7 linked regions of the Oryctolagus cuniculus genome follow. The protein of the gene in region 5 purifies or fractionates together with the protein of the main gene of each other region. This does not show direct contact. Links are inferred from orthologs where the notes say so. Each region holds a gene or a part of one and is shown on either strand. Other genes may lie near its edges.

Region 1 (4,138 bases), on a different chromosome or scaffold from region 5:
CGCGTCCCCCCTCGCTGGCAGCCCTGTGGAGCTCCCCGAGTTCCTCCTCCACGATGCTGCCACGGAACTGGGGTCGAACCTCCAGCCCGTTCCCGCGCCCGTCGGAGGACGTCTGGAGCACCTGGCGCCTCATGGCTGAGTAGGAAAGAAATCGCTTCATTTCTGAAGCGGACGGCGGCTTTCCGCCACCTCCGGAGCCCAAAATCCGAGAAAACGAGCCGTCTGGCCACCACGTCCCCGCAAGGCAGGTCCGCGGTCTCCAACTCCTCAGCTCCGGATGACGGTCGCCGAGCAACCGCCGCCATGCGCCAGTGGGCGGGGCCGCCGCGCACGCGCAGAACCTCCCACCTCCCCCGCCCAGCTGCAACCAGACTTGGGTGGGTCTTTGCTAAGGAAAAACATCAATCATTTGAAAAGCAGTGTTTATACTCAGCTGGAGATAGAGTGGCTTGAAACTGCAGAATTCTGAAGGCCTACAACGCCTCTGAAAATGTCTAAAAAAAAAATGTTTCAGCTCCTTATCTTTCAGTTTATTTCCCTTCCACATCACCTTTGTTCCACTTGTTATATATTAATGTTAGCCGTCGCAAAGCACACCGGACACCGGAGTAAGGGAAAGGGTTTACTGGAGAACACCCTACAGACCGGAGTGAAGGGGCTGCGAAGGAAAAAGAGAGAAAGAGAATATAAGAGAGAAACAGAGAGGAGAGGAGCTAGCAAGGAGAGAAGATAGAGCAGAGCCAAGAGAGAAGAACCAAGAGCCAAGAGACCAGAGGAGGAGGCTAGAGAGAGGAACCGAGAGAGAGCAAGAGAGAAGGGCCAAGAGAGCAGGGAGCAGAGCCCAAGAGAGCACGTGTTCAGGAACAGGCCCTTTTAAAACTTTGCCTGAGGGCGGGCAGGGAAGCAGGAGCAGCGAATCCCATTAGGATGGGGGTGGAGCCTGGCTCAGGTAGCTGGGCCATGTGGCCACCTGGCTAAAACTGTGCCAGTTTCCTAACACTATCAAAGTAGGCAGGTTCCATACGAAGCGGTAGCTTCTGACTCCAGATTCCTGCTAATGTGCCCCCCCCCGGGGGGGGGTAGTGGAGATGGCTCCAGTTACTGAGTTCCTGCCACCCACATGGAGACCCGAATTGGGATCCTGGCTCCCCTCTTGGCCTCAGCTCAGCCACCGCCCTTGTGGACATCGGGGGAGTGAACCAGTGGATGGAAGCTGTGCGTATTGGCGCGCGCCCTGTGCGCCCGCGCGCGCCTGTGCGCCTCGCCCGGCCTCCCCATGCGCACGCGCGGCCGCGGGAGGGGGGGCCTGGCTCCTCCTTCTCCTCCTCCTCCTGCTCCTCCTCCTCCAGCTCCAGGCCCGGGCCGGAGGAGGGCCGAGGGCCGAGGGCCGTGCGCCTGCGCGGAGCCGGAGTCCTATAGGGCCGCGGCGGTGCGGGTGGGCGGTTGCCTTGGGGACCGGTCCGGCCCCTCCCTCCTCGGGTTCCCCACCCACCCCGCTCCACGCCCCTCGCCGTCTGGACGCGCGGCACACAGACCTCCCGGCCCTCCCTTCCCGCCGCTCACCCCAGCTGCAGCCGTGACCCGGCCAGAGGCCGTGCCGCTCCCAAGATGTCGCAGACGGCCATGTCCGAAACCTACGGTAGGAGGCCCGGGGGACGAGCGGGCTCGGGTCTCTGCGGCGTGGGGACCCGAACCTGCGCTCGGGGAGAGGTCTCGGGGGGCGTCGGGGGCTCGGGCCCGGGATCTGCGGGGAGCGCGAGCGTTGGGGCCGCGGGCGGGGGGCTCGGGGGTCTCTGGGTGGGAACGCGAGGCTGTGAACGGCCTGTTTACGTGATCTGCTTTTCCAAGTTTCCTCCGCGCTGGTACCCTGAGTGTTTTTCCTCTCTGGGTAGCTTGAGATTCGCCTGCGGCTGTGACGTTAGCCCCTGCGAAGGGGGCGACTTCTGGATTTCAGCGAGCTCCTCGGGATGTTCCAGTTTTGACCTTTTCGGATTTGGATTTACTGTCTTTGCCGTGGGATTAAAGGAGGAGTTAGCAATAGATTAATCTATCTCTTCCTCCCAGATAACTCTTGCTTTATTTATAGCCTCTCTAGGTTGCATTTGGCTAGTTACAAGGGGGCTCGTCTATTCTTTTAAGATCGTAAACGCCTTGGAATCGGCGCCTTGTTAAAAAAAAAAAAATTTTTTTTTCTGTCCTGCATAGTCAGGATCAACAACTTGTACCTTTTATTAGTGTTGAGTAAATGTTTATCAACCCGGACTCTTTCAAATGTGTACAGTCTCAGATTAAGACTTTGATTTGGAGTTTTACAGCCCCAGGGAGAGGCTCAAATTCAAAAGAAAATGTATCCCTCAAGCCAGATCCGCCTGTCACCATCTGTCCTGGCCTGCCGCTCCTTCCCGGCAACAGATAACGTGTGCAGGGCATTAGGGGAGCAGGCGTCAGGCTTGGAAGGCTGTGAGCTCCTGGAGACACAGCAGAGGCGGCTCTGGCCGGGTGGAGTTTGCCTTCTTGGCGGGGAGTCCCGTGTGAATCCGGTTGGGGTGCTGCTGAGTGAGTCCAGGCCAGGCAGGAGCCCTGAAGAAATGTGCCTGTTTGTTAGGATGAGAGCTGGCCCGCACTGGGCAGTCAGACGGTCACCTGGCAGGTGCCCAGACCTGTGGAAAAGGCATTTCAAGCAGGGCGAGGAGAGAGGGCCTGGTGGGAGGTTTCCAGCTCCCTCCTAAGACAGGTGGTAAGCTTGCAAAGGTTTCTGCTCCAAGGTCGAGGTGCAGTGGGGCCGCTTTAGCGATTCTTGTGACTGGCACTGCCCTGTTCTTGGTGACACTGTAGCATGGCCGCTGTTCTTAGAAGGCCTCGGAAATCTTCCAGGAAACCTGCTGGGTTTGTCAAGACCAGCGTTGCCAGAGCTGCCGGGTCTCCTGTGAGGGGTGGCCATGCGCTGCTCTTCTTCCCATGGAGAACTGCAGTCAGAAATGGCTTTAAAACATTATCTCTCTGCTTATTTGAAAAGGCAGAATTACAGAGGGAGAGGGAGAAATCCTCCATCCGCTGGTTCAGCTCCCCAAATGGCCACAACACCCAGTGCCGGGCCATGCTGAAGCCAGGAGCCAGGAGTTTCATCTGGGTCTCCCATGTGGGTGCAGGGGCCCAAGCACTTGAGCCACCTCCCGCTTTTTTCTAGATACATTAGCAGAGAGCTGGAAGTGGAGCAGCCGGGTCTCGAACCGCCACCCAAATGGGATGCTTGTGCAGGCAGCAAGGCAGCCCCCCAAAAGTATCCTACGGAAAATGTGTTCCAAGCAATTTGTGGTTGTATCTTTGCAGTTGTTTATATGCAAGTGCTTATTTGTCCACCCCTCCCCCATTTTTTTTTTCTTTGACCTGGGTAAGCAGCACTAGATAAGGCTGAAAAGTCTTAATGAGGGAACCATGGGGAGGTTGTGAATTACTAAGAAAGCATGGGAAGACCTTGCTTTCATTTTCCTTGTGTGAAGTGGTAACAGCTGATAGAATACAGCCCACCTTTGCTTGCCCTGCCTCACTCTGCACAGGGATCTTGGAAGTTGCAAGCCTCACCCAGGAACTGGTTAAAATCCTGATGCTCAGGCTTCGGCCATTAATGTTCTTATTTCATGCACTTTCAAAAAAACAAGCTTTCACTATTTACTAATTGTGAATTTAGTATTTTCTAAATGAGACATAAAGAGCCAGTGCCGTGAATGCACTGTTAGTGTGCGGGAGCCACCTGCTCATGAGCACGTTAGAGCAGTGTTCCACTTCCCATAGACCTGAGTCGGGTCCAGCCCTGTGTTGTTGGGAAGCCACTAACCACAGGAGTACAATGCTGTAGTGTATGTCATACTGTAATGCACAGTTGAAATGCTAAACAGATGTCAGCGTGGACCCTTCAGTCTGAGTGTCACTAACCTGGAACAAGGTACTCCCACATGTGTTTAGATTCAAGCGATCCAAAAGTGCTGGCCCGTTAGTGTTGCCCGGGACTCCCCCATGGAACCCCTCTGAGACCCAGGAGGCCACAGTTTGGCGGTGCGTGATTCCTGGTGCCAAGAACTGATGCTAGTGCTGAACTGTAAATGTGGAGGGGAAATGCCAGGCTTCTTTTTTAAAAATT
Region 2 (3,928 bases), on a different chromosome or scaffold from region 5:
CCCCTCACCAGATACACGTATGTGGGAGGGACAGAGTCCTGGCTCAGGCCTACCTCCAGCCTTGGCAAGGAGTGCCCAGGGGACTCCCTACCCTTCCTACCCAGGGAGGGGTTGCTGGGCTCCGTGCAGCAGGCGCTGGGAGAAGAGCTGGGCACCAGCCAAGCTCCTGGTGGGAATCTCACCCTGCCCCATGCCCCCTGCCCTCCCAAGCCCTCCCAGCTTTCACTTCTCTGATGGTGGCTGCCAGGAGGAGGGGAGCTGTGGATGTTCTAAAGAAAGAAGCACCTGCTAACCAGCTGCAGCCAGATGTGCAGCCAGATTCTGCAGCTCAGCCTCTAGGCTACGACGGGTGATGGCGGCTGTCACAGACAGATTCCATAGGGCTTTTGGGTAGCGTCCCTGAGGAGTGAGAGGAAGAAATAGGAGAGGTACTGGCTTGTGTTGGGAGGTGAGGGGCTGAGGAGGGGAAGGGGGGGCGGGGAGAATAAGGAGAAGTGGCCCTAAACCTGAGGGAGAGGCGTCGGAAATGTCTCAACCTACGTGGGGGTGGGGATTCCAGCTGAGGCAGCAGGTATCCAGCTCTGTATCTGCTTCCAGTCGGGTGTGGGGAGGGGTAGAGGGGCAGAGGTGGTTCTGTGTGTCTAGGGACCAGCCCAACGCAGGAGGGTTTATAAAGCGCCCCCTTCTATGTCACCTAGCATCCCAGAGCGCCTTCCCCATCACACAGTGCCCCCAACTTCAGGAAGCGTGGCCAGGGGCTGCTCCCAGTTAGCGAGTGCACGAGACCCACGCGGCCTCCCGTACGAACTCATTCACATCACGTTTGCCCCCTCCCCAGTTCTACACACACAGTCGTCTGCCCTCTCCCATCGCTCCGCAGCCATTCGCCTTCCCTCGGGGCTCCTGGAACCCGCAGTGACGCGATTAGCAGCCCAGGCCGGCTCCGCCTCGCCCCAGCCGGCTCCACCCTAAGGCCAAGTCCCAAGCAGGCGACGGCTCCGCCCAGTGCTGCGAACTACAAGTCCCGCCGTCCCTCGCTCGCTCTCTCCCGCCTCTCCCGCGACCCTCACCGGCACCGCCTATGGGTCGGCCAGGAGGGCCTCCCATTGGCTTCTCCGCCCTGTCAGTCACCTGGGAGTAAGAGGGGCGGGGCGGAGGTAGAGATCCGGATCCGGAGCGGCTGAAAGGCGGAAGTGGAGGCCGGAGCCTGGGACACCGCCGGGGGGGAGAGGAGCGAAACCTGTCCGAGCCCCGTCCCCAAGTAACGCCGCCGTCCCCGGAGCCGCTGTGAGTGTGCCTGTCCTGGGATCCAGTGTCTCTCCAGCCCAGTTGCCTTTGCGGGGCAGCCCTTCCTTCTGCCCAGCCCTATCTTAGGGGGATACTGACCCCTCCCCCGACCCGTAGCCCCTTCTTAAGGCGCTCCGCAGGCGTCAGGCCACAGGAAGATCCCTTCTTTCCTCGACTTACCTGCCCTTTGTGAACCTTGGGGAAACCCCTGCGGCTCTCCTCTGGCCTGTCCAGTCCAGTCGCGGCGGAGAGGGACCCTGAGTTCCGCTCTCCCTGCTCCCAGAATCGGCCGGTCTTTGCCAGGTGTGCAGGAACCTGCCCCTCTTCTCCCGTAGAGGTGGCGGGGAGGGCTGTCTGTCGCCGTGTCCCCCCCACCCCGGTCCCACAGAAGCAGTTGTCCCCCGCCAGCCCTGGAGAAGTCTTGTCTCGATTTCCTTTGGGGGAGGGTGGTCTGGGGGAGGCGACTCCACGCGCATAGAAGTGTGTGTGCTCCCACAACTCCCGACTCGTTCTCCCTCCTCCAGCCAGAGAGCCAGCCAGGACCTCAGCGGAGTCTGGGGCGCGGGGCACTCCTTGGGAACGAGCAGCCTTCTTGTTTTGTCCCCGCTGTCCCCCGGCCCTGTCCTCTTGAGTGTATCTCTCTTCCTGCCTCTGAAGAATTCAGCTGAGGTTTGCTCAATGCTAGGTCAGGGTGGCTCTGCCCATTCATTATCTTCTGGCTCCCCTACTCCTCCCCCTCGGCTCCAGGCTCAGCCCTGTCCTCCCGAGAGCACGTGAGCGGTTCCCCAAGCTGCCTCTGCGGGACTGCCTTGTCCGCTGGGCTGTAGAGGAGAGAATAAGCCCAGAGAAGTGAGGAGCTGGGGCTTGAAGGACCGTTTCTTTGCTGCTCCCAGACACACACACTCGACCGCCGCCCCAGCAACAGGTCCACCCTCACCGGGGCCTCGCCTCAGTCCCCGGGGCTTGGACGTACTACAGACCAATGAGTCGAGGGCACAGTGGCAGTCTTGGGTTCTTAGCTAATTTCTGTAGCAAGAGGAGTTCCCAAATCTGCTAGAAAGGGCTGCCCTCCCCTCCCCCCGGCTGTTTTGCCATAGGATCCTACTCTGTTGTTTAGGAACTGGGTGTGTGAAATGGCTGCTGTCTCAGACCAGGCTAGACCGTTCTGTTACGTGGCCAAAGTACAGGCCAGAGACTACCTTAATGAGGAGCAGCTTGCCTGAGGCCAGGACTGACCCTTGCTATCTGCAGGGGAGGAAGGGAGGAGAGCCCCACGCTGCCGGAATCGCCGGAGCTCCTGGTGTTCCTGGGCCGCCCTCACTGCCCTTGGCTGCTGCTTCCCAGTGTTAAAGGTGTTTCTGCTTTGAGATCTTTTTTGCTGCTCTGGACAGTTGCTAGTGTGTGGTCCCTACAGTCTTTTGAGCTCGGTCTTGAACGCACTTGTTTCACTTTTTATTGGACAACAAAGCAAAACTTCCTTATTGGGCTCAACAGCTGGATCACGAGCCCTGAGCCCGTGTGGGCTCCTTGGAGACTTTGTCCGCCCTCCTCATCGGACCTGGTGGGGCTGTGGGGCTGAGGGCAGGGCCGCTGGTTCTGACGGGGTGGGCCGTGGCTGGCGGAGCGCTGCAGCAGTGCAGGGATGAGGCCGAGCGGCCGTCCGAGGGGTTCTTCTTTGCGTTGCAGCTCTGACTCGGAAGCAGGCTTCGGGAAGAGCAGCTCCCTGTTCAGAACAGTGGGGAAGGCTGTACAGCTCTGGGTGGCTGTGTAGCCACTCTGGCCTCCAAAAATTAAAGCATCGTAACAGGACGAACCCTGCCTGGCAGAGGGAGGGCTCTGTGTGGGGCAGAAGCCCCTCCTCTCTAACATGTTCCCTCCTTCCCTGGGCCCGTCACAGCGAGCTGGCCTTTTTTCTGCTGCTATACTACAGGGTGATGGTAACTGCTAATTGCTTTAGGTCATTGCAGAGTTGCAGACTTCTTTTCACACACGTCCCTCACACGTTCCTTGGGAGGTAGTGAGATTTGCATTTCCACATTGGAGATGATGCCTAAGACCACGCGGTTAGGAGGTGATGGCGCTGAGGCTTGGGATCTGGGCTCAGATGTGACCTCGGCCTTCCCTAGTGACTGGCCCTTAAATGAATGAACAGGTAGGGTGAGCATCAGGGGCACAGTGCAGGCTCTGAGCCCCTGCACCATCCTTGTCCCTGGCGCTGCTCTGCTTCCCATCTCTTCCCCCATCTTCACCCCGGCCTCCTGGCCTCCTCCTTGGCCCCCTGTGCTCTGCCTGCAGGGGCCCTGACAGGAGTTGGTGCTCTGCAGGGCCCAAGTTCGCTGACATCTGACTGCCGTCAGTTTCCTGGGAACCTGCCGGCTGATGGTTGGAAAGTGAAAGTGAAAGCCACTGGGCTCGGGGGCCTCCTGGGCCCCAGTGAGGGCGGGAGGGCCTCCGGCTGCCCTGCAGTGCTGCCCGAGGTGACGCGCCTTCACTTGAATTTACTGGAAACAAGGAGGTCAGGAGTTCAAGTTCAGCCCTACCAAGCAAGTGCTTCTTAGAAGAGGCTTCTTCCTGTAACCCCTGCCCAGCACACACAGAGGCGGTGTGGTGGGATGGGGGGCACTAGGGCTTTGGAGTCAGC
Region 3 (3,500 bases), on a different chromosome or scaffold from region 5:
TAGAGCTTGAAGTCAGTGTGGCTACCTCCTAAACACGGGGATGGGCTAACGTAGAAGCTTAGATGTATAGGTGACCAGCGCGACAGTGGGGTTCTGACAGTGGGTGACAGCAGTGGTTATCCTCTTACTTCTATTTAATTGGATTGGAAATTGTCCTTTTCCTACACAGTTTTTGGGGGGCTCAGGATATTTGAAAACAGAGGCCAACATTAACAGTGGGTTAGTGTAGAGACAACTGACAGAGTTTTTTTCTTTTTTATAAAGATTTTTTATTATTATTATTTATTTGAAAGTCAGAGTTACAGAGAGAGAGGGATCTTCCAAGTGGTTCACTTCCCAGATGCCCATAACAGCCGGGGCTGGGCCAGGCTGAAGCCCATATTCCGGAGCCTCTTCCAGGGTTGTGGGTGCAGGGGCCCAAGCACGTGGTCCAACTTCCACTGCTTTCCCAGGCACTTTAGCAGGGACCTGGATTGGAAGTGGAGCAGCCAGGTCTTGAACTGACACTCATATAGAATGCTGGCATTGACTTTACTGGCTGCGCCACAACACCAGCCCCATGAGGCTCTGTGGTAACACAGTAAAGTGATAATAGATTTAAAGAATATTTGGTTGGGCCGGGAGAGACTATGGATAACCAGATTTTTCCTGCTTCCATTTGAACTGATTTCCATGCTGGGGGATTCAGCTGAGCTGCAGAAGCTCGCTGTGTATACTCAGGTGTAAGAGTGAGGAAGTTTGAAGAGGAGGTCAGAAGTAAGAGGTAGAGATTGTTGGGTAGACGTTTTAGGGTAGCACATAACCATTCATTTCCTCTGCCCGGTTCTTTGTGTACTGAGGCAGCCTCAGATAACTCAGCACGTGTCATAATGGGATCGAGTGCCAGAGAGCCCATGAAGGAGATATCTGATGAATGAATGAATCGTGGGTTGATAACATTGGGAAATGTTTATGATGTCATTGAAAAAGAGCATATAGCATGCATGTGCATACCATAATTACAGTTACATCCTTTTGTCAGTGAAAACCTTTGAAGTAGTGTGTTTATGATGAGATAATGAAAAATGTGTTTTAAGATGTTACTAATGAAATGTGTAATAGTAGCATAAATATGTAATAATGAAATTTTTGTTTTACTTGTAGGCATTTTTTACACTAGCACGAGATATAATGACAAAACTCAACAGAAAAATGGTTAGTATCATGATTTTTATTTCCATTGCTCTGTTTTCTTTGGCATTTGATCGAAGGATAGGCCTGATTGTAATATTTCACATTAAACTCACTTTTTCCTTACTAACATATTCATCTGATCGAACTTCGATTCTTCTCTTTCTTCAGGATTCTGGTTTTTCAGCTGAAGCTGTTTTCAGTCTTTATCTTGCTCCCAAAGTGGCTTTTCATTGCCTTTAGATCAGAACAATGGAAATAGCAACGGCATATAAATTACATTCTTTTAAAGATTCATTCATTTATTTATTTGAAAGAGTTACACAGAGGAAGAGACAGAGATCTTCCATCTGCTAGTTCACTCCCCAAATGGCCACAACGGCTGGGGCTGGGCCAGGCCGAAGCCAGGAGGCAGGAGTGCAGGGGCTGAAGGGCTTGGGCCTTCTAACGCTGCTTTCCCAGGCCATTAGCAGGGAACTGGATCAGAAATGGAGCAGTCAGGATTCGAACCAGCACACTTATGGGATGCTGGTGTCACAGGTAGTGGTTTTACCTGTTACGCCTCATCACTGGCCCTACAAATTACATTTTGGCCATAAAATTATCTAGTTTCATTTTCAGCAAACTTCAAAACAAACTTTGAAAATTGGTTTTCAGTCCTGAATATAATTGTATAATTCTCCTTACCCCTAAAAGGAGTACCCGTGTCAGTATCTTAGCACTGTTTCCATCATTACCCTTGAAGCTTTACCCACCATTCATTGTAATTGCTTTTAACTGGAAATAGGAGCTTCCTGCCTAATACATTGTTAACATAGCCAGTGCTATCTGAAGAACAGTTTGCTCAGTGGAGCCCAACCAGTTCCCTTTCTAATAGAAGTATTTCGGTGAATATATCTGTTTCCATAGAATGCACGCTACCCATGGTATGGTTTGTCATTTTTATTTTGTAGGTAACCGTGAAACTTTTATTTCCCTGCTAATGGCATCTTCTCAATTTCAGAATGACAGCAATTCTTCAGGGGCAGGCGGACCAGTGAAAATCACAGAAAACCGGTCAAAGAAGACCAGTTTCTTCCGTTGCTCGCTGCTTTGATGAACTCTGTCTGAGAGACTGCAGCGCGCCCGGAGGGCCCCCTCCTGCTTCTCCGAAAGCACAGGTCACCCAGCCTCAGAATCACACCGCCCGGCTGCTGCTGAGAGCACTGCTGAACTCGGACCTCTGCCGCAGAAGGCCCAGTGGAGTCCAGCCTCCCGGCCTCACAAAAGAACAGGCTCGTTTTTTCTTTCAAACATGGAAGCAATGACTTGGAGACACAAGCAGGACCTAACTTGTTTTTCCTTTGTTTTCCTGCCTGTTGCAGAAGCTGCTATCTTTCTTTTTCACTTTGCACACAGTGTTACTCTCTCCCTTCTACAGCACAATCTCAGACTCATTTTTGCACACTTTTGTGTCCTTAAGTCGATGGATTTGTACATTTGGGGGTCGTTAAAAAAAAGACAGGACATTTAAAGCAGAGGCTAATGTACTAAAATTAAAGGACATGTGGTCTGGTTTCTAAGGCCAAATGTTACTGCATTGGTACCATTTTATTTAAGGGGTTTGATTTGTGATTTTATTAAGTAAAGATCATTAAGTCATGACAAAACCTATTTTAAAAATTCATAAAAATGCCCACGGTGTCTTCACCTCTTCAGATTATGTAGAGCTTTGCCTCATTCTTGACCTTTTTCCCAGAGTCCAGATAGCTCCAAGAATCACTCTTTAAATTGATTACCTCTGCCTAATCTGTGGAAACCACAGTGGGAAATCACTATATTCTCACTTTTCCTGGGGTTTGTATTTGCTCTTCTTTCCTATGTTTGACTTAACTGTGATTCCTCGGTGATCTGAAACTGAACATATTCTAACATTGCTGTATTTTTCCTTGTGAATTTCTTGAGCTGAAATTTGACAGAGAGACGCCCCATCTAGGATTTCACTTCAGCATCTCACTGCGATTGTGTCACATGAGGACTTGTAATATATTTTTTCTTAGCTTCATCCCTTAGCTTGATGATTGAGCTGAGATACCCAGTTCCCACCATAATCCCTATCCACGAGAGTTAGTGAAAGTTAGATTGAGATTTTAGTTTGCAGAAAGCTTGCCTACACAGAGATTAACTTGTTGATATAAATTTAACAGAGATAACTCTTGGTAATGGTGAAAATAATGATTTGGGATTCTTTTTTTTGGGCGGGGGGAAGGGTTGTTAATAAAAGTGAATAGATCTAGTGCAGCCTGTAGAAAAAGTCTTGCCTTTTCATTAGAGAAAATATGGTCAAGGTT
Region 4 (3,500 bases), on a different chromosome or scaffold from region 5:
AGTCAAATGCTCTGAGATGTCCCTCAGAGTGACACAAGGACAGGGAGCACCTACAGGCCACTGGCATCATCAAGGGGCCAGAGCGCTTCCAAGGAGAACCTGGAGCCCTAGCACTGCACAGTGCAACCAGGCGGGTCCATGAGCCTGAAGGCCACAGGTGTGCTGAGTGAAGTCAGAGCGGCAAAGCACCTGCCAGCAGGTGCAGAGAAGGGGAGGCAATGAGGACCCTGAGGAATGAGAGGAAGGGCCAGCTGCCTCCCTCCACACGTTTCTTCTGCACGTTTCTTCTGCGCAATCCCACATGGGGGATGCAGAGTCCCTACCTCCAGTGAACTCCCCCACAAGCCAACACAAACAAACGGCAGTCTCCCTGCTGTGGGTTCTCAGAGTCTAGAGTAACAGACCCAAACCAGTTACACGGAAACCAAATCTGTTTGGGAAGCTCTGGCCACCCCCTGCCTGGGGGAGCCCAGCCAACAGTGACCTCAGGCAGAGGAGGGATCAAACCAGCCGCTTCCCTTCTGGGCCTGTCCCGGGGCTGAGACATCTGAGAACCAGGCCAACTGCTCAGGGGCTCTGCTCTCCCAAGAAGGGTGCCCGGGGCTTCCAAAGTCCTGAACTCCTCCCTGCCTCCCTGAGGGCAACTCAGACACAGCACAGGGTCCCCAGAAAGCTGTGAGCGGACAGCCTCCCCCCCCCCCCCCCCCCCCCCGCCGCAGAGAAGCCACGGGGGTGAAATCTGGGCCCGGCTGCAGACAGATGTGTCAGGGAGGCCATCCGCTGGGAGACAGCTCTTGGATGAAGCCATTTGTGGGGAAGCAGCACACGGACAGGGACACAGGGCCCAGCCGGGGACAGAGTGCACGCTGTCTGCTCCCATCACTTAGCTCATCAGGAATGAGGGGCAGCTTTACAAGTCAACCCTCCACCCAGCACTCAACTTCAGGTCACGTGGGATGGAGACATGATTTTTGTGGATGATCAACAGGCAACATAAATTGCTAAAAGGTTCCCTTGATGTGCTGACAGTTGTTCAGTCAAATGGGTGATCTGGGGCATCTATACTTTATCATTGTCTGTTTTGTCTCGCCTCCCTTCAGGATGCTAACATAAAATGCTATAGACTGTGTAACTCTCAATTAATACAACATTCATTTTTGTGGGAAATGGCTTCATTTTGATCCACAAAACACAGAACCAACAAACTGCGCGGATTGCAGAAATGTAAACGGAGAGGCCTAACAGAGGCCTCTATCTAAGGCATCAGATAAACTCACACGGAGGGAAAGCTCTATTTCAGTGCTCTACAGTTTTTACCCCAGGAGCAGAAAAATGCCAGCTAGACAAAAGCACCCTTTCGGGTACTTACTGATTCCTTGAAAGAGCTCTTCGATGTTGATAGCGTTCTTCGCACTTGTTTCAACCACGATGGCACCTATGGACTCAGCATATTCCTTTGCATCCTTCAGAGGAACCTCCCTGGAAAAGAGGTCAAACCCAAGAGAAATGAGTGCTCAGCTGTAAAATACAGATCACCCACAAGGCCAAACAAACCACGGGCGTCAATCAGCTCTTTTCTATCCCCTGCAGACCCGGAACGCGGCCTCAGCAAGCACGGACGGCCGAGGATGGGGGAAGATTTTTGAGAGTGTAAAACCTGGTCTCTGGCCCCCCCGGAGACGGGTGGGTGCCCGAGTGCTCTGCTCCCGTGGTGGGAGGCAAATCCAGGACAGGAGGGACAGGAGGGGTGAGAGGGCGGTCAACATGCTGCTCTCAGACCCCGGCTTCCGCTGTGGTTTGGAGGTCACTTAACTGCCCTGGTAATAGCAGGAGGAGGCGGCAGCCTGACGAGGTGATTAAGCCACGAGGACTCTGCCTTCATTAGCAGAATCATCGTCTCCATGAGAGGTCAAGTTCAGGCCCCCTCTTGCCTCTCTGCCCTTCCATCTTCGGCCACGTGGAAACGAAACACTGCTCTCTTCCCGAGGAAGCAGCATTCAACACGCCCCAGAGTCCACCTTTCTTAGCCAGGTCATGGCGGTACTGTTCCGGCAGTGCAGAGCGGAAGAAGGCAGGCTGGTTTTAGCTTTTTCCCCCAGGATGTGACTCAGTATTAAAACAATACTGTGAGAACGTAGGATGTGCTTTGGGGCGACTTTCCACACACGGTTTTCCGCAGAGCAGAGCAAGTGTGTGCCACGACTGGTCGGTTTGGCAACGAGCCTGGTACGACGCAGTGTGGCCTATCTGGAGTTCCACCTTTAAGAAGCTGTTCCCACAGAGATGGAAAATTCACAGTTCTTGTTCTCCTAAGGTTCATTTATGCAACAAATACGTTATTGAGCAGCCCTTGTGGGCCCCTCCTCTTGCAAGTAGTAAAGAAAACAACCAACCCCGCCTCCTGGAAGGAATGTTTAAGAGCAGAGACAAGCAAAACACTGACCCACAACGCGGTGTGCAACCAAGCGCCTACAGACCAAGGGGCAGAAGGCGATGGTTCAGTCCAGGGAAGCAAGGAAGAGGCCCTGGGTGGAGGCGGCCACCTTATGTGTGGCCACGAGGGCCACGGAGAGCTAGGGCGGGGATCTGCCATCTGCTCGAGGCCTGGAGGAGGGAGCCCGTGCTCCTCTGCCGTCAGCGCCGGGACGAGGGCGCTCTGAAGCCCCCATGTGGCTCGGAGGTCAGGGCGGCTTCACCCATGTACCACATGGTGTCAGGATGGACAGACGGCTGGAGTGTGTGCCACAGGAGCACAGGAGGGCCCAGCAGGGATCCTGGCCATGCAAGCCTGGCTGGTCCCAGAGGCCTCAGGGAGCAGGAGGCAACCGGGTCAGCGCCCGAGCCTGGGAGAAAACAGCACACAAAGGGGACCAGGGCGGAGAGAGGCGGGGAGGGTGACGTGGAAGTGCCTCTCGGGCCCGAGGCCAGCATGGCAGGGCAGCGATGGGAAACAAGGGGAGGGGGACACGAAGCTGAAACTGGAGGTGAGCACAGGGCCTGTGTCCATCTGCCTGCCTTTCCTCCTCTGCCTCTCTGTCTTTCACAAATGGCTGCAACTGACTGACAGCTACTGGGGAAATTCAAACACCTTCTGAGACCCAACCTGTATGAGAGGAAGAGTTTGCGGGCCCCAGGTGGGAATGCCTAGGTAGAAGTTCACACACACACACACACACACACACACTGCATTTACTGTTATTTGTGAAAGGAAGAGCAAGGGAGATATTCCATTTGCCGGTTCACTCCCCAAAAGGCCACTACAGCTGGGGGCCATGCGTCAGGAACCCCATCCAGGTCTCCCAAGTGGGTGGCAGGGGCCCAAGTCCTTGGGCCATCATCCGCAGCCTCCCAGGCTGCATTAGCAGAGGCCACGCATGCTCCCTCCAGGCCCCACCTTCACCAGCCGCCTCCACCTCAGTCCAGACCCCTTCGTTTCTTACAGGGATTCCTGCGGTCGCCTCTTCCCGCTCCCCTCACCTCCTGCCTTCCGAAGTGCACAT
Region 5 (3,066 bases):
CAGCATTTCCTACTCTGACATCTGAGATGGGGACACAGCCCCAGCACAAAGCCCTGGGAGGCAGACTCAGGAACCTTGAGTCTGCGCTTAGTGGGGAGCTGGACTTTGTTCTGGTCCCTCAGGCTCCTCTTTCTGTGTGGCGCTGGTCCTTCAGGCCACCCTCACACTAGCCCTTTGCAGGATATTCTAGGCATGGAGTTCCAAAGACCACAGTAAGATGGGATGTGACGTTTTTAAAAGATTTATTTATTCCAAAGGCATATATATATATATATATATATATATAGAGAGAGAGAGAGAGAGAGAGAGAGATAGATAGATATCTTCCATCCTCTGGTTCACTCCCCAGATGGTCACATGCCCAAGGCTGGGCCAGGCCAAAGCCAGTAGCCAGGACTTTGTTCCAGGTCTCCCATGAAGGTTCAAGGGCCCAAGCACTTGAGCCATCTCCTGCTGCTTTCTCAGGCCATTAGCAGGGATCAGAGGTGGAGCAGCCAGGACTTGAACTGGCACCCATATGGGGTGCTGGTGTCACAGGTGGTGGCTTTACCCGCTACCCCACAGTGCTGGCCGGGATAAACTGCCGAGGGTCCTGACACCGCCTGCCTGGGGAAGCCTCCTCTATACCTCAGTGGTGGCAGGGCACGGTGCAGGAGACTTGGTCCCCATTTCTCCTGGGAGGGGCACTTGAGCTTCTCTCCCCTTCCCACAGATTGAGCGCCATCTACGGGGGCACATACATGCTGAACAAACCTGTGGACGACATCATCATGGAGAATGGCAAGGTTGTGGGTGTGAAGTCTGAGGGAGAGGTAAGCCTTCCCCAGGCCATGGGGCCATCGTGGTTAGGGCGGGGCTCGCCTACCTCCTCTGCTGCCAGGTCTGCTGCACACCTCAGCCCCAGGGCTTTAGAGCTGAGAACTGGGGGTCCAGAAGCCATTCCTGTTGGCGGGAGGTCCCCTTCAGAGGTGGTGTACTGGGGCCAGTGCTGTGGCGCAGCAGGTTAAACCACTGGCTGCAACGTCGGCATCCCCTATGAGCACTGGTTCCAGTCCCAGCTGCTCCACTTCCGAGCCACCTCCATACTAATAGCTTGGGAAAGCAGTGGAAGATGGTCCAAGTGCTTGGGCTCCTGCTCCCACGTGGGAGAGCTACATGGAGTTGCAGGCTCCTAGTTTAGATCTGGCCCAGCCCTGGCTGTTGTCATTTGGGGAGGGAACCAGGAGATGGAAGATGTGTGTGTGTGTGTGTGTGTGTGTTTCCTTCTGTCACTATGTCTTTCAAATAAACAAATCTTTAAAAGAAAAACCAAAAAAACAAAAGCCACAAAGATCACGAGCTGTGTGTAGTGCAGAAAGCACTGTTGATCACAGTGTGCCTGCAGCCGGGGCTCACCCCATTTCTGGACTCACCTGCCTGCCCTGCCGGCTGTGGCTGTGCGTTCCAGGAGAGTGGAGCCTCTGCCTGCTGCCTGGCCTCGTGCGTGGGCTCAGCCCCACGAGGTTTTAGGGCAGGGATCGGACAGAGGTAAAGCCCTCCGATGCCTTCACAGGTGGCCCGCTGCAAGCAGCTGATCTGTGATCCCAGCTACATCCCAGACCGCGTCCGGAAGGCTGGCCAGGTTATCCGCATCATCTGTATCCTCAGCCACCCCATCAAGAACACCAACGATGCCAATTCCTGCCAAATCATCATCCCCCAGAACCAGGTCAACAGGAAGTCAGGTAGGCCGGGGCACACGTGACGTCCTCCTGGGTGTTCTCTGTGGGCTTGCTCCGTCTCTCCCTGTCAGCCTTGGGGCTCCCCACCTGATCCCTCCACAGCAGAAATGAGAGCCGCGTGACAGTCCCCACGACTTGGGGCCCCAGGGATTGGGTGGCTTGGACTCTTTCTCCTTGGGAGGGTGACAGCCAGGATGCTGCCCATTGTGTGGGGCGGGGTGATTGGATCAGGTGGGCCAGGATCCCATGCAGCCCCTAGGCGCCTTCTCTTTGCATGGTGTTCACTCTGGCCCGTGCTAACTGAGCACTTCCCGTGGCCAGACATCTACGTGTGCATGATCTCCTATGCACACAACGTGGCTGCGCAGGGCAAGTACATCGCCATTGCCAGCACCACAGTGGAGACTGCGGAGCCGGAAAAGGAGGTTGAGCCAGCTCTGGAGCTGCTGGAGCCTATTGACCAGAAGTAAGGGGTTGCACGGAGCCCGAGGGGGTGGGGAGGACCAGGAAGGGCGGGGCCTGTTGCGAGGCTTGTCTCTGCCTCTCAGGTTTGTGGCTATCAGTGACTTGTACGAGCCCATTGATGATGGTTCTGAGAGCCAGGTAAGTGCCTGTCCCAGCCCCAAGTCCCGGCCGCCCACCCGGCCGCCCTGCCCAACTCACCTGAGGCCCTGGGCTCTGGCTGTTGCCAGGTTTTCTGTTCCTGCTCCTACGATGCCACCACACACTTTGAGACAACCTGCAATGACATCAAGGACATCTACAAGCGCATGGCTGGCTCAGCCTTTGACTTTGAGAACATGAAGCGCAAACAGAACGACGTCTTTGGAGAAGCTGACCAGTGACTGCTGCCCCTGCTGCCCCCGCCGCCCCTCCTGCGTCCTGCAGGGCCAGGGAGATGTGCGGCAGCACCCCTGTTTCCAGCATCTCTGCTTCCCCCACCACATTCCTACTACCCACCTCATTGATTCACTGACCAAATCCTTAACCTTAGCGATGGTTTGGGAGATGGGGGGTTGGATAGCATCTCTTCCTTGGCCCTTCCTTATCCTAGGAAAAGACGGTTCCTTTCTTCGTGCGTGTCTCTTCCCCTCGCCCCTAATTCTTCTGCTCTGTCTGGGAAGAACATGGAGGAAAAGCTGGCTTCTGCCCCCACCGCTCTTACTCCTACTGTAGTGGCCTTTGGAGATGCCCCCTGCCTCCCCCCACCAACTCTCGTGTGTTGGAAAGAAGGGGCCCTCCCAGCACAAAATTGCATTCCTTTTCCCCGTAATTTATTCTAATTTATTAACTGCAGCCCACCCCACCTGAGCCTGCATCCTCCTAGAGCAACCTGGGGGCTGTC
Region 6 (4,280 bases), on a different chromosome or scaffold from region 5:
CCTCAACAAGAGCGTGGAGGAGCCAGCCCAGGTAGGGGCGGGTGGCCGTCTGTGCCCCGGGCGCGTCCCTGCCCGCCTGCTCGGGCCTGTGCGACGGTGGGTGCCAGCGTGCACGCAGCCCTGACCCGCAGGAGCTCACCAGGGCCCCCTCTGTCCGCAGCCTGGCGGCGCGGGGCTCTCTGACAGCCGCACCCTCAGCTCCAGTTCCATGGACCTCTCCCGACGGAGCTCCCTCGTGGGCTAAGCCTGAAGGGGCAGCCAGTTGCCAGAGCCGCCCCCCGGCACAGCCCCAGCGCTCGCATGGGCCCGCTGCTCGTCCCGCCTGCCCAGCCCCAGGACCCCTGTCTTTTCTGTTCAATCTCAGGGTAACCTCCCCGCGTCGTCCCAGCCTGAGCCCTGGAGGCCGGCCTGGCTGCCCAGCGCTGCCCCGTATTTATTCTCTCCAGCAGAGCCCCTTGCCAGGCCCGTGGGAGGGGCTGGCTGCTCGCCTCGCCCAGATCCGGAGCCCGGAACACTAAGCCCCGCCCTCCCCCGGCCGTTGCTTCTGTATATAGAGAAATAAGTTATTGGCCGCGCCCCTGCCCTCCGTCCCGGTACTCCCGGCCCTTCTCTAGTGGTACCGCCCAGGCCTTAATCACCCCCATCGCGCGCGGAGTATCTCCCGCGAGCGGCGCCGCCCCGCAGGGCTCCCTGACCTGCTCCCGCCCCTCCCGGCCTCCAGGGGACGCCACCAGCTCGCCATCGCCCGGTGTCCCGGGACGGAGAGCCCGGAGCCCTCCTCGCCCGCCGGCCCCGCGCCGCGCCCGGCCTTATGCACTGCCCCGCCGGGGCGCCGCCTCCGCGCCTGCAGCTTCCCGCCGGGGCCGGAGGGCTCCCCAGCTGGGGTGGGGTGAGGCGGTCGCGCCATTTTCAGATGTAACTGGAGAAATAAAGACGTTTGAATCTGTGCTGGGCTTGTTTTGAGACGGAGGCCGCGGGTGCCCCAGGCTGGGATGGGTGGGAGAGGCTGCGCGTGTCTCCCACGGGGGCCAGGCCCTCTGCCCCAGCCCAGTTGTGGGGGGCGCTGCTCGGCTCGGGGTTTCTTCGAGAGCCTTCGCTCCTTCGCCCCAGACGGCCCGGTCTTTAACGAGATCGGCCGTCCTCGGGTTTGACCTTGAGCGAGTTTCCCGAGCCCCGGTTTTTTTTTTCCACCTATAAAACTAGTGTGAGGACATCCTCCTGGGCCCGTGGCTGTGCGTGAGGAGCTCTGACTAGTGCATGACCGGCGCCACCTTCCCACGCAGAGCTCCCAACCTGGGAGCCGAAGAGGGAGAAGGCGGGTGCGCCAGCCCGAGCCGTCCTCGGCCCGCGGCTACCAGGAAGCGGACTACAAGCTCCAGAAGGCAGTGCGCGGCAGGACAGGCGTGGGCTCGCAGCGACGCCTGCGCCGTGGGGGGTGGCGAGTCGGGCACCGTGGGGGACTACAAGTTCCAGTAAGCAGCGCGGCGAGGCCCCTGTCGGGACCGTGTGCGCCTGCGCGTCGCGGGCGGGGCCTCAGGGGCGGAGCGGCCACCATCTTGGAACGGGAGGCGGAGCAGAGCCGACTGGGAGCGACCGAGCGGGCCGCCGCCGCCGCCATGAACCCCGAATAGTGAGTGAGCCCCGCCCGCGCCGTCTGGCGCAGCCTCGGTCCCGAGTACGGGGCTGTACGCGTTCCGGAGTTGTCTGGCCCGGGTCAGGACTGTGCGGCGCCCCCACATCCGGGTCCCTCTACCACTGACACCCCCCCCCCACACATACACACATCCGGGTCCCGCCCCTCCCCCCGGGGGCCCAGGACCCCGTCTTGACACCCCCGAGTCCTCGAAGCGGGGGCCCGAAGCGGCAGCCCCAAGGGCAGCGCTGGGAGCCGCGCGGCCGGCGCGCAGGCCTCCGCGGTCAGGTGACCCGGCAGCCCCGGCGTCCCCAGGCCTCAGTTTCCCCGGCTGTGCGGAGCCTGTCACGCCGGTTTCTGGGTTCAGACTCGGCTCTTTTGGGTCGGGCTCTTGGCGAAGAAGAGCAGCGCCTGGGGTGTGGAGCTTGGCGGAGAGGGGGCTCAGAGCCCTGGAGGCAAGCGAGAAGCGAAGTCGATTAAGCCCCGCAAAAGTGCGCTCGGGCGGGATCCGAGCGGCCCAGCCCCTGGGCGCGGGGCGGTGGTCCTCCGTCGTCTGTCTGAACCGAGAGGTGCGGCTCCCGGAGGATGGGCAGGGGGCTGCCCGGGAAGGCGGGGCGCGGGCTGTCCCGGCGGAGTCGGGATTCCGGCGTGGTGGAGGAATTCCTGGAAAGCGTGGGGAGCCCGTGTGAGCCCCCTGCGGCCGTGAGGATTTCGAAGGTGGCTCGGAAGGCCGGCTTCCACGTTGTCTCTGCGGCCCCTGGAGTGCAGGTGTGCCAGCCCTGGGGCCCTGCCCGCGCCCGCCTCCCCGGTCTGGGGCCGAGGCTGGCCAGGCGCAGGGCCCGGGGCGGCGCTTGGTCCCGTCTCCCGCGCCTCGCGCTCGCGGGGTCTCCCGCGCCTCGTCCCGCCTTTGCCACCCTGCTTTCGCTGTCCCGCTGCTGCCGGGCCCGGGCGCCGTGGCGCGGCCTTTGCCTCGCGGCGCCGGCTCTGGGCCTCGCTGCCGGCTCGGCTCTGCACTCGGACTTCCCCGCGGTGCGCTCTGCTTCCTCTCTGCCGCTTCCCTCTTCTGCCCCAGCTGGAGGCTGCAGGTTTCCCCGGGCAGCGCCCCCCGGGCCGCGGTGCGGGGTGGGTGAGACCCCGCCTTGGGGCCCCCTCGCAGCTCAGTCTCCTCCCTGGCCTGGGGTCTCTTCGTGGCGACTTCAGCTGTGCGCGCAGCTTTGTCACTGAGCAGGTTCCGGGCTGAGCTCAGCTTTCCCTCTGGGGCCTGCCCTGCCAAGCCACTGGACGGGCCGGGAAGGTCTGGAGTCCTGGGAAAAGTCCCAGCGGCGGCACCGGGCTCTGGTTCACAGCATCCCGCCCTTCAGCGCCCGGCGCCCTGTCGCGTCCAGGGCAGCGCTCCCCCAGCCAGGCCTGGCGGGAGATCTGGGGGGCCGCGGCCGCGAGCCCAGGGTGGCAGCAGTGCGCTGCCTGCCCTCACACTCTCTCTTCTCTTCCCAGTGACTACCTGTTTAAGCTGCTTTTGATCGGCGACTCGGGCGTGGGCAAGTCGTGCCTACTCCTGCGGTTTGCTGTGAGTAGAAGCTCCCGTCCCCCAGCCTGGGGTCCCAGCTGGCAGCGGGGGGAAGGGCCCCCCAGAGCACAGTGGCTGCGAGACCTGGGGACCCAGGGTGAAGTCGTGGGACCCACCAGTCACACATCAGACTAAATGGCACAGGGCCCAAACGTTGGGGTGCTGAGAACTGGGGCTCCCCTGTGCCCCACTGGGGCCCCGTGGCTGAGGCGCTGCGCTGGCCCCGGCCCTAGGATGACACGTACACGGAGAGCTACATCAGCACCATCGGGGTGGACTTCAAGATCCGCACCATCGAGCTGGACGGCAAGACCATCAAACTCCAGATCGTGAGTGTCGCCCGAGGGCCCCGGGGAGGGGGCTGCGGCCTGGGCCGCGGGCCGACTGTGCTGCTCGCTTGTCTGCAGTGGGACACAGCCGGCCAGGAGCGGTTCCGGACCATCACCTCCAGCTACTACCGGGGGGCCCACGGCATCATCGTGGTGTATGACGTCACCGACCAGGTACTCCGGGGCTCCCTGTCGCCAGCTGTGCCTCCCTGCCTTAGTCCGAGATTCGCACGTCATCCTGGCCTCTGCCCTGACAGGGGACTGACTGTGTGCAGGCTCACGTGCAGGGAGGCCAGCCTTCCAGAACCCTGATGCAGGGGCTCGGTGGGACCAGGCCGCAGCTTCCCCTCCGCGCCAGACTCGCCCCTCGGGGTTTTAGTCAGCTGGGTGGCCGCGGTGCTGGACCTGTGGCTTCCTGTGTGAGACAGGGGCGGCACTTGGAGGGCCCTTGACCAGGAGGCCCGGGAGCCCGGTGTGAGCAAGAGCCCAGGCTGTGCGTCTGCTCTCACGCCGCTGGCAGCAGCCGGAGACGGTCTGTCCCCTTGCGACACTCATGCGAGGGCTGTGTCCCAGGAGGCCGTGGGCTCAGGACGGCGGGGGCCCTGGGCGAGTCCTCCAGCTTGTGGAGGGCAGGGGCAGGAAGCGCAGTCTTTCCCTCCCCCCCCGCCCCAAACCTGCCGCTGCGTGGGGTCCAGCCCCAGGCGGAAGGGGTCCCTGCTCCCAAGGGCAGCTGCTCTTTTTTTAAGACTTA
Region 7 (4,047 bases), on a different chromosome or scaffold from region 5:
GGAAAAGCAGAAGATGATGGCCCATGTGCTTGTGCTCTGACACCCCCATGGGAAACCAGGAGGAAGCTCCTGGCACCCACCTGACTCCCGGCTTCAGCCTGGCCCAGTCCCCCAGCTGTTGGACCATCTGGAGTGCGAACCAGCGGATGGAAGCTCTCTCCCTCTCTCTCTGTAACCCTGTCTTTCAACCAAATATTTAAAATAAAATAAAATAAAATCGTAGAGATGACCATATTTACCATATCCTGAGAATTACTGAAAAGACTGAGGTGGCTTTTGCAGAGCTAAGAATTCTCTTGTAAAAGCGCACTTCCCCCAGCTGACCCGGTGGGCGATGCTGGATGTCTGCAGCCCCGGAGCGCCCAGTGCCGAGTGCCATTGGCAGAGCTGTGCGTTCCCACACCGAGGTCCACACCCAGCGTCACCTGGCGGTAACAGGAGCCTTCCGGGCCTCCGGGCCAGCTCCTACCGCGTTCAGAACCCTGTGTTCCTGGGCGCTCGGATTCACGCCGAGGAATCTGCTAAACAACTCCCTGGCCAGCAATCGGCCCGGCGATTTTTCAGTCGCTTTGAGACCTTTCTAAAAGCCAAAGCATCTTCAGCGAGGCCATGATTGCTAAACTTTCTGAGTTTAAATCTCACTGCTTGGATTCTCCCGAAAGGAGTGTGCCGCTTGCTTATGGCAAACATGAGACGGAATCGGAACTTGAGATCTCTGAGTGAGGCAGCCGCCGGGGTGAAAATATCCGACCTTGTGTATTTCCGTACGAAACGGCAGACAGCCGCGGGGCCAGGCTGTGGCTGCTGTCGGTGCCTGACTGCGCGTCCAAATGAGACCCCCGATGCGCCGCACGGGCAGCACGGGCCTGGCCTGGCACCGCCCGGGGTCCCCACCAACCAACTGGGGTTCGCAGCACTGATTCCGGGGCTCTCCTAGGTTCAGGGAAAGGCAGACGATTAATAGCGGGCGTGGCGTTTGAGGGCTGCGCACAGTGCAACAGAGGGGGAAGGTGAAAAAGAAACAACAAACTAGCGGACAGAACGGCCCGGGCCGAAGTGGGGGGCGAATGAGAGCAGGAGGCGGGGAAAGAGCAAAGGCTGCCGGCCTGGGAGATCAGGGAGCAACCGCACAATCACGGGTGTTGGCCCCGGCAGTCCTCCGGCAGGCAGGGGGCGCTCGCCCGGTCACCGCCGCCGCCGTGGCCCCGCCCCCGCCGCGGCCCCGCCCCCGCCGCGCGCCTGCGCTTCCTGCCCCTCCTCGTCCGGGATGCTGCTGCCGCTGCTGCGGAGTAGCTGCTTCCCTTCCTCCTCCCCCGGCGGCGGCGGCGGTGGTGGTGGCGGCGGCAGTAGCCGTAGCGGCGGTAGCGGCAGCGGGGAGGGGGGCGCAGGAAGCCGCCCGGCGGAACAGCTGCAGCGCGGGCCCCCGGGGCCGCTCGAGCGCGCAGACTTCGAGCCGGGGGCCGACCCCCTGCGCGCGGCTGAGACCGAGGCCAAGGCCGAGGGGGCGCCGGGGCCCGGGGCGCGCGGCCGGGGGGCGGGCGGCGGCGGACGGCGGGCCGAGCGGGAGCCGTATGCGTGCATGGATCCGGGCGCCGCGCTGCAGAGGCGGGCCGCGGGCGGCGGCGGCGGCCTGGGCGCGGGCTCCCCGGCGCTGTCGGGCGGCCAGGCCCGCCGGAGGAAGCAGCCCCCCAGGCCGGCCGACTTCAAGCTCCAGGTTATCATCATCGGCTCCCGCGGCGTGGGCAAGACCAGCCTGATGGAGCGCTTCACCGACGACACCTTCTGCGAGGCCTGCAAGTCCACCGTGGGTAAGGCGCGCCGCCGCCGCCGCCCCCGCCCCGGGGGCCCTCCCTTTCCCATCTTGCGGCCCCCAGGGGCTTGCGTTTGGCCGGTGAGCCTCGCGTGGGATCTGCGGCGGGGAGGGGAGGGTCTCGGTGGAAGCCCCTCAGTGCCACTCCCGAAGCTGCACGGAGATTTTCGTTGGGTCTCGCCGCGGACGCGTCCTTGGGGCGCCCGGGCCTGTGTCCGGGCCGGAGCCCGGGTCTGGAGCGCGCGCGCCGCGGGCGACCCCTTCTCGCGCGTCCTGAGGCCTGGGGGGACGGGGGTGGGGGGCGACGCATCCACTTGCACGTGGAGGCTCCCGGCTCTGTGCAGACTCAGCCGAGGAGGAAGGCCTGGCCGCGCTGGCCGCTGCCTTGGTGGCCGGCGGGTCCTCGCCTAGCGTTTGGAGGAGGAGGATTTTCGCTGTCGGCGGGGCGTCGGTTCGCCTTTGAACCCGTTTTCAAGGGCGGGCTGAAATGATGAAGTGTAACATTCCCCACGCAGAGAGTTTAAACTAAGACTGCACCAAGTGTCTTGAAGTACAGACTTGGAGCAGCTGTGTTTACCGGTGACCTCACCGGTGAGGGCAGCACCGCGGGCTGCAGGCCGCGACGTAGGGGTGGCATTCCCAGGACGCGGAACGGAAACTGCAAGGGAGAGTTGTTTCCAAGAAGTCAGGCCCAGCCGGACCTGCCGTGGAGGGGTGTCAGGTGGGGGTGGAGAATCGTGACCCCGGAAAGCCCGTGGGAGCAGCGCTCGGGGAAGCCTGGAGCTGGGCTGGTTCTTCAGCTAAAGGGTGTTGACCTCCCGTGGTGGACAGTGAGGGCTTTTCCCAGAAGAGAACCGAGATTTGGCGCACGGAATTAAATGTAGCATCTCCTATATTTCCCTACCGGCTTAGAGTCCGAGCCAGTGCTAATTCCAGTGTGCAGATACATTGCTTTTAGGTTGTCCCGGGACAAAACGAGTGCTACATTTCAGATGTCTTTATGGAAAATTAAACTTCCAGTATTTGTTTTGTTTCTGAGAACTTTCCTTCCTTCATGCCTTTTTTTTTGGGGGGGGGGGGTGATATTTGTGCTGTCGGTGCTCTTTTTGAAAAGTTGGCCTTGGGAATGTGATATTAAAATTCAGTAGCATAACTGGACCTGTTTCAGATGTCCCTTCTTGGACCGTGCAGAGTGCAGGAGTCATTAAACCATCACATGATGTGTACACTGTTATTTTAGTAGCTGTCACAAATCCAGTAGTGTTAAAAACAATGCAGAATTATCGATCCGTCACGGCTCCACACGTGGACATCTGAAAATCAGAGATAATGTAGTTGCGCCATGTGATGAAGAAGAACCAGTGCCGGCGCTAAACAGGAGACTGAGGGGCTGGGTGGATGCCGGTGAGATTGGCCATGAGCAGAGTTGTGCTTTAGAACAGAGGAGAGGAGGGGGGTTCTAAGCCAGGCCACAGTGGACTGGGACCCCCCAAGCCGTGGGAAAGGTTCTTTAGGGAACAGAGGAATGGATGCTGTGAGACCTTGACCACCATGCTAGGAAGTGAGGTCCTTGCCCCACAGGCACCTGTGGCCATGAAGACTGCTACAGAGACAGTTCAACTGAATTTGGGATTGTGTGGGCCACTTGGGGCCAAGGAAAGAAACAGGCCAGGCGGTTCTGTGTCCCCCCAACAAACATGAACACGTGGACTTAACGGAGTGCATCTCACCGCATGCTGAGTGTGGTTGTATTTTTCTCTTGCTCATCTTTTGTTCCCGCACGCACAGCCTATAGTACTCGGCTCAGGGCATGTGTCCAGTTGTGGGAAGTTCTGAGACAGAAGGCACTTGCAGAAAGCCTCCACGCGGCTCTCCCTGGTGGTGATCGGATCGTTGGTTGAGCACCTACTGGGTGCTGGGTGTTGGGCTGTCCACCAGGCTTTTGATGGCAACAGGACCTGGGCTCTGTGCAGGAGTGGATCCAAGCTAATGGACACGTGGATTGGGGTGGAGGTTGTAGGGGCGGTAACAGAGACTTGTGCAGAGCACCCAGGAAGCGCCTCCTATCTGGAGGTGGGGTGTGAGGGCGTGTCGGAGAAGGTGTCCTCTATTGGAGTGTTGTGAAGACAAGTTGGTTCTTCAAGTTTAGGAAAATGCTCTTCAAACCTGGCATCAGGTGGTGTGGGATCAGGGCTCCAGGCTCCTTGTGAGGCTGGTTTCGTGTCTGTGTGGTACAA

Evidence for each region.
Region 1: the proteins of GDI1 (region 5) and RAB4A purify together in Homo sapiens (co-immunoprecipitation; 4 studies listed by BioGRID and IntAct, counting the BioPlex papers as one, with this or other methods). This does not show direct contact. The link is inferred for Oryctolagus cuniculus from reciprocal best matches to the Homo sapiens genes GDI1 and RAB4A.
Region 2: the proteins of GDI1 (region 5) and RAB5C purify together in Homo sapiens (affinity purification with mass spectrometry; 3 studies listed by BioGRID and IntAct, counting the BioPlex papers as one, with this or other methods). This does not show direct contact. The link is inferred for Oryctolagus cuniculus from reciprocal best matches to the Homo sapiens genes GDI1 and RAB5C.
Region 3: the proteins of GDI1 (region 5) and RAB8B purify together in Homo sapiens (affinity purification with mass spectrometry; 3 studies listed by BioGRID and IntAct, counting the BioPlex papers as one, with this or other methods). This does not show direct contact. The link is inferred for Oryctolagus cuniculus from reciprocal best matches to the Homo sapiens genes GDI1 and RAB8B.
Region 4: the proteins of GDI1 (region 5) and RAB31 purify together in Homo sapiens (co-immunoprecipitation; 3 studies listed by BioGRID and IntAct, counting the BioPlex papers as one, with this or other methods). This does not show direct contact. The link is inferred for Oryctolagus cuniculus from reciprocal best matches to the Homo sapiens genes GDI1 and RAB31.
Region 6: the proteins of GDI1 (region 5) and RAB1B purify together in Homo sapiens (affinity purification with mass spectrometry; 3 studies listed by BioGRID and IntAct, counting the BioPlex papers as one, with this or other methods). This does not show direct contact. The link is inferred for Oryctolagus cuniculus from reciprocal best matches to the Homo sapiens genes GDI1 and RAB1B.
Region 7: the proteins of GDI1 (region 5) and RAB12 purify together in Homo sapiens (co-immunoprecipitation; 4 studies listed by BioGRID and IntAct, counting the BioPlex papers as one, with this or other methods). This does not show direct contact. The link is inferred for Oryctolagus cuniculus from reciprocal best matches to the Homo sapiens genes GDI1 and RAB12.

The regions. Positions count from the first base shown.
Region 1 is NC_091444.1:90,047,216-90,051,353, forward strand, and holds the start of RAB4A (ras-related protein Rab-4A), read left to right. Parts: upstream 1-1,338; 5' UTR 1,339-1,608; coding exon 1,609-1,639; intron 1,640-4,138. UniProt on the Homo sapiens protein: The small GTPases Rab are key regulators of intracellular membrane trafficking, from the formation of transport vesicles to their fusion with membranes.
Region 2 is NC_091448.1:20,643,092-20,647,019, forward strand, and holds the start of RAB5C (ras-related protein Rab-5C), read left to right. Parts: upstream 1-1,128; 5' UTR 1,129-1,287; intron 1,288-1,467; exon of another isoform or gene 1,468-2,203; intron 2,204-3,928. UniProt on the Homo sapiens protein: The small GTPases Rab are key regulators of intracellular membrane trafficking, from the formation of transport vesicles to their fusion with membranes.
Region 3 is NC_091443.1:86,302,780-86,306,279, forward strand, and holds part of RAB8B (ras-related protein Rab-8B), read left to right. Parts: intron 1-208; exon of another isoform or gene 209-1,143; coding exon 1,144-1,194; exon of another isoform or gene 1,195-1,407; intron 1,408-2,173; coding exon 2,174-2,266; 3' UTR 2,267-3,500. UniProt on the Homo sapiens protein: The small GTPases Rab are key regulators of intracellular membrane trafficking, from the formation of transport vesicles to their fusion with membranes.
Region 4 is NC_091441.1:67,004,353-67,007,852, reverse strand, and holds part of RAB31 (ras-related protein Rab-31), read right to left. Parts: intron 1,480-3,500; coding exon 1,370-1,479; intron 1-1,369. UniProt on the Homo sapiens protein: The small GTPases Rab are key regulators of intracellular membrane trafficking, from the formation of transport vesicles to their fusion with membranes.
Region 5 is NC_091453.1:132,671,142-132,674,207, forward strand, and holds the end of GDI1 (rab GDP dissociation inhibitor alpha), read left to right. Parts: intron 1-712; coding exon 713-812; intron 813-1,552; coding exon 1,553-1,724; intron 1,725-2,042; coding exon 2,043-2,187; intron 2,188-2,269; coding exon 2,270-2,324; intron 2,325-2,413; coding exon 2,414-2,566; downstream 2,567-3,066. UniProt on the Homo sapiens protein: Regulates the GDP/GTP exchange reaction of most Rab proteins by inhibiting the dissociation of GDP from them, and the subsequent binding of GTP to them. Promotes the dissociation of GDP-bound Rab proteins from the membrane and inhibits their activation.
Region 6 is NC_091432.1:5,574,716-5,578,995, reverse strand, and holds the start of RAB1B (ras-related protein Rab-1B), read left to right. Parts: upstream 1-1,480; 5' UTR 1,481-1,616; coding exon 1,617-1,630; intron 1,631-3,127; coding exon 3,128-3,200; intron 3,201-3,433; coding exon 3,434-3,529; intron 3,530-3,607; coding exon 3,608-3,703; intron 3,704-4,280. Other genes in the region: KLC2 (kinesin light chain 2), read left to right, coding at 1-31, 161-244. UniProt on the Homo sapiens protein: The small GTPases Rab are key regulators of intracellular membrane trafficking, from the formation of transport vesicles to their fusion with membranes.
Region 7 is NC_091441.1:65,748,192-65,752,238, forward strand, and holds the start of RAB12 (ras-related protein Rab-12), read left to right. Parts: upstream 1-1,247; 5' UTR 1,248-1,267; coding exon 1,268-1,808; intron 1,809-4,047. UniProt on the Homo sapiens protein: The small GTPases Rab are key regulators of intracellular membrane trafficking, from the formation of transport vesicles to their fusion with membranes.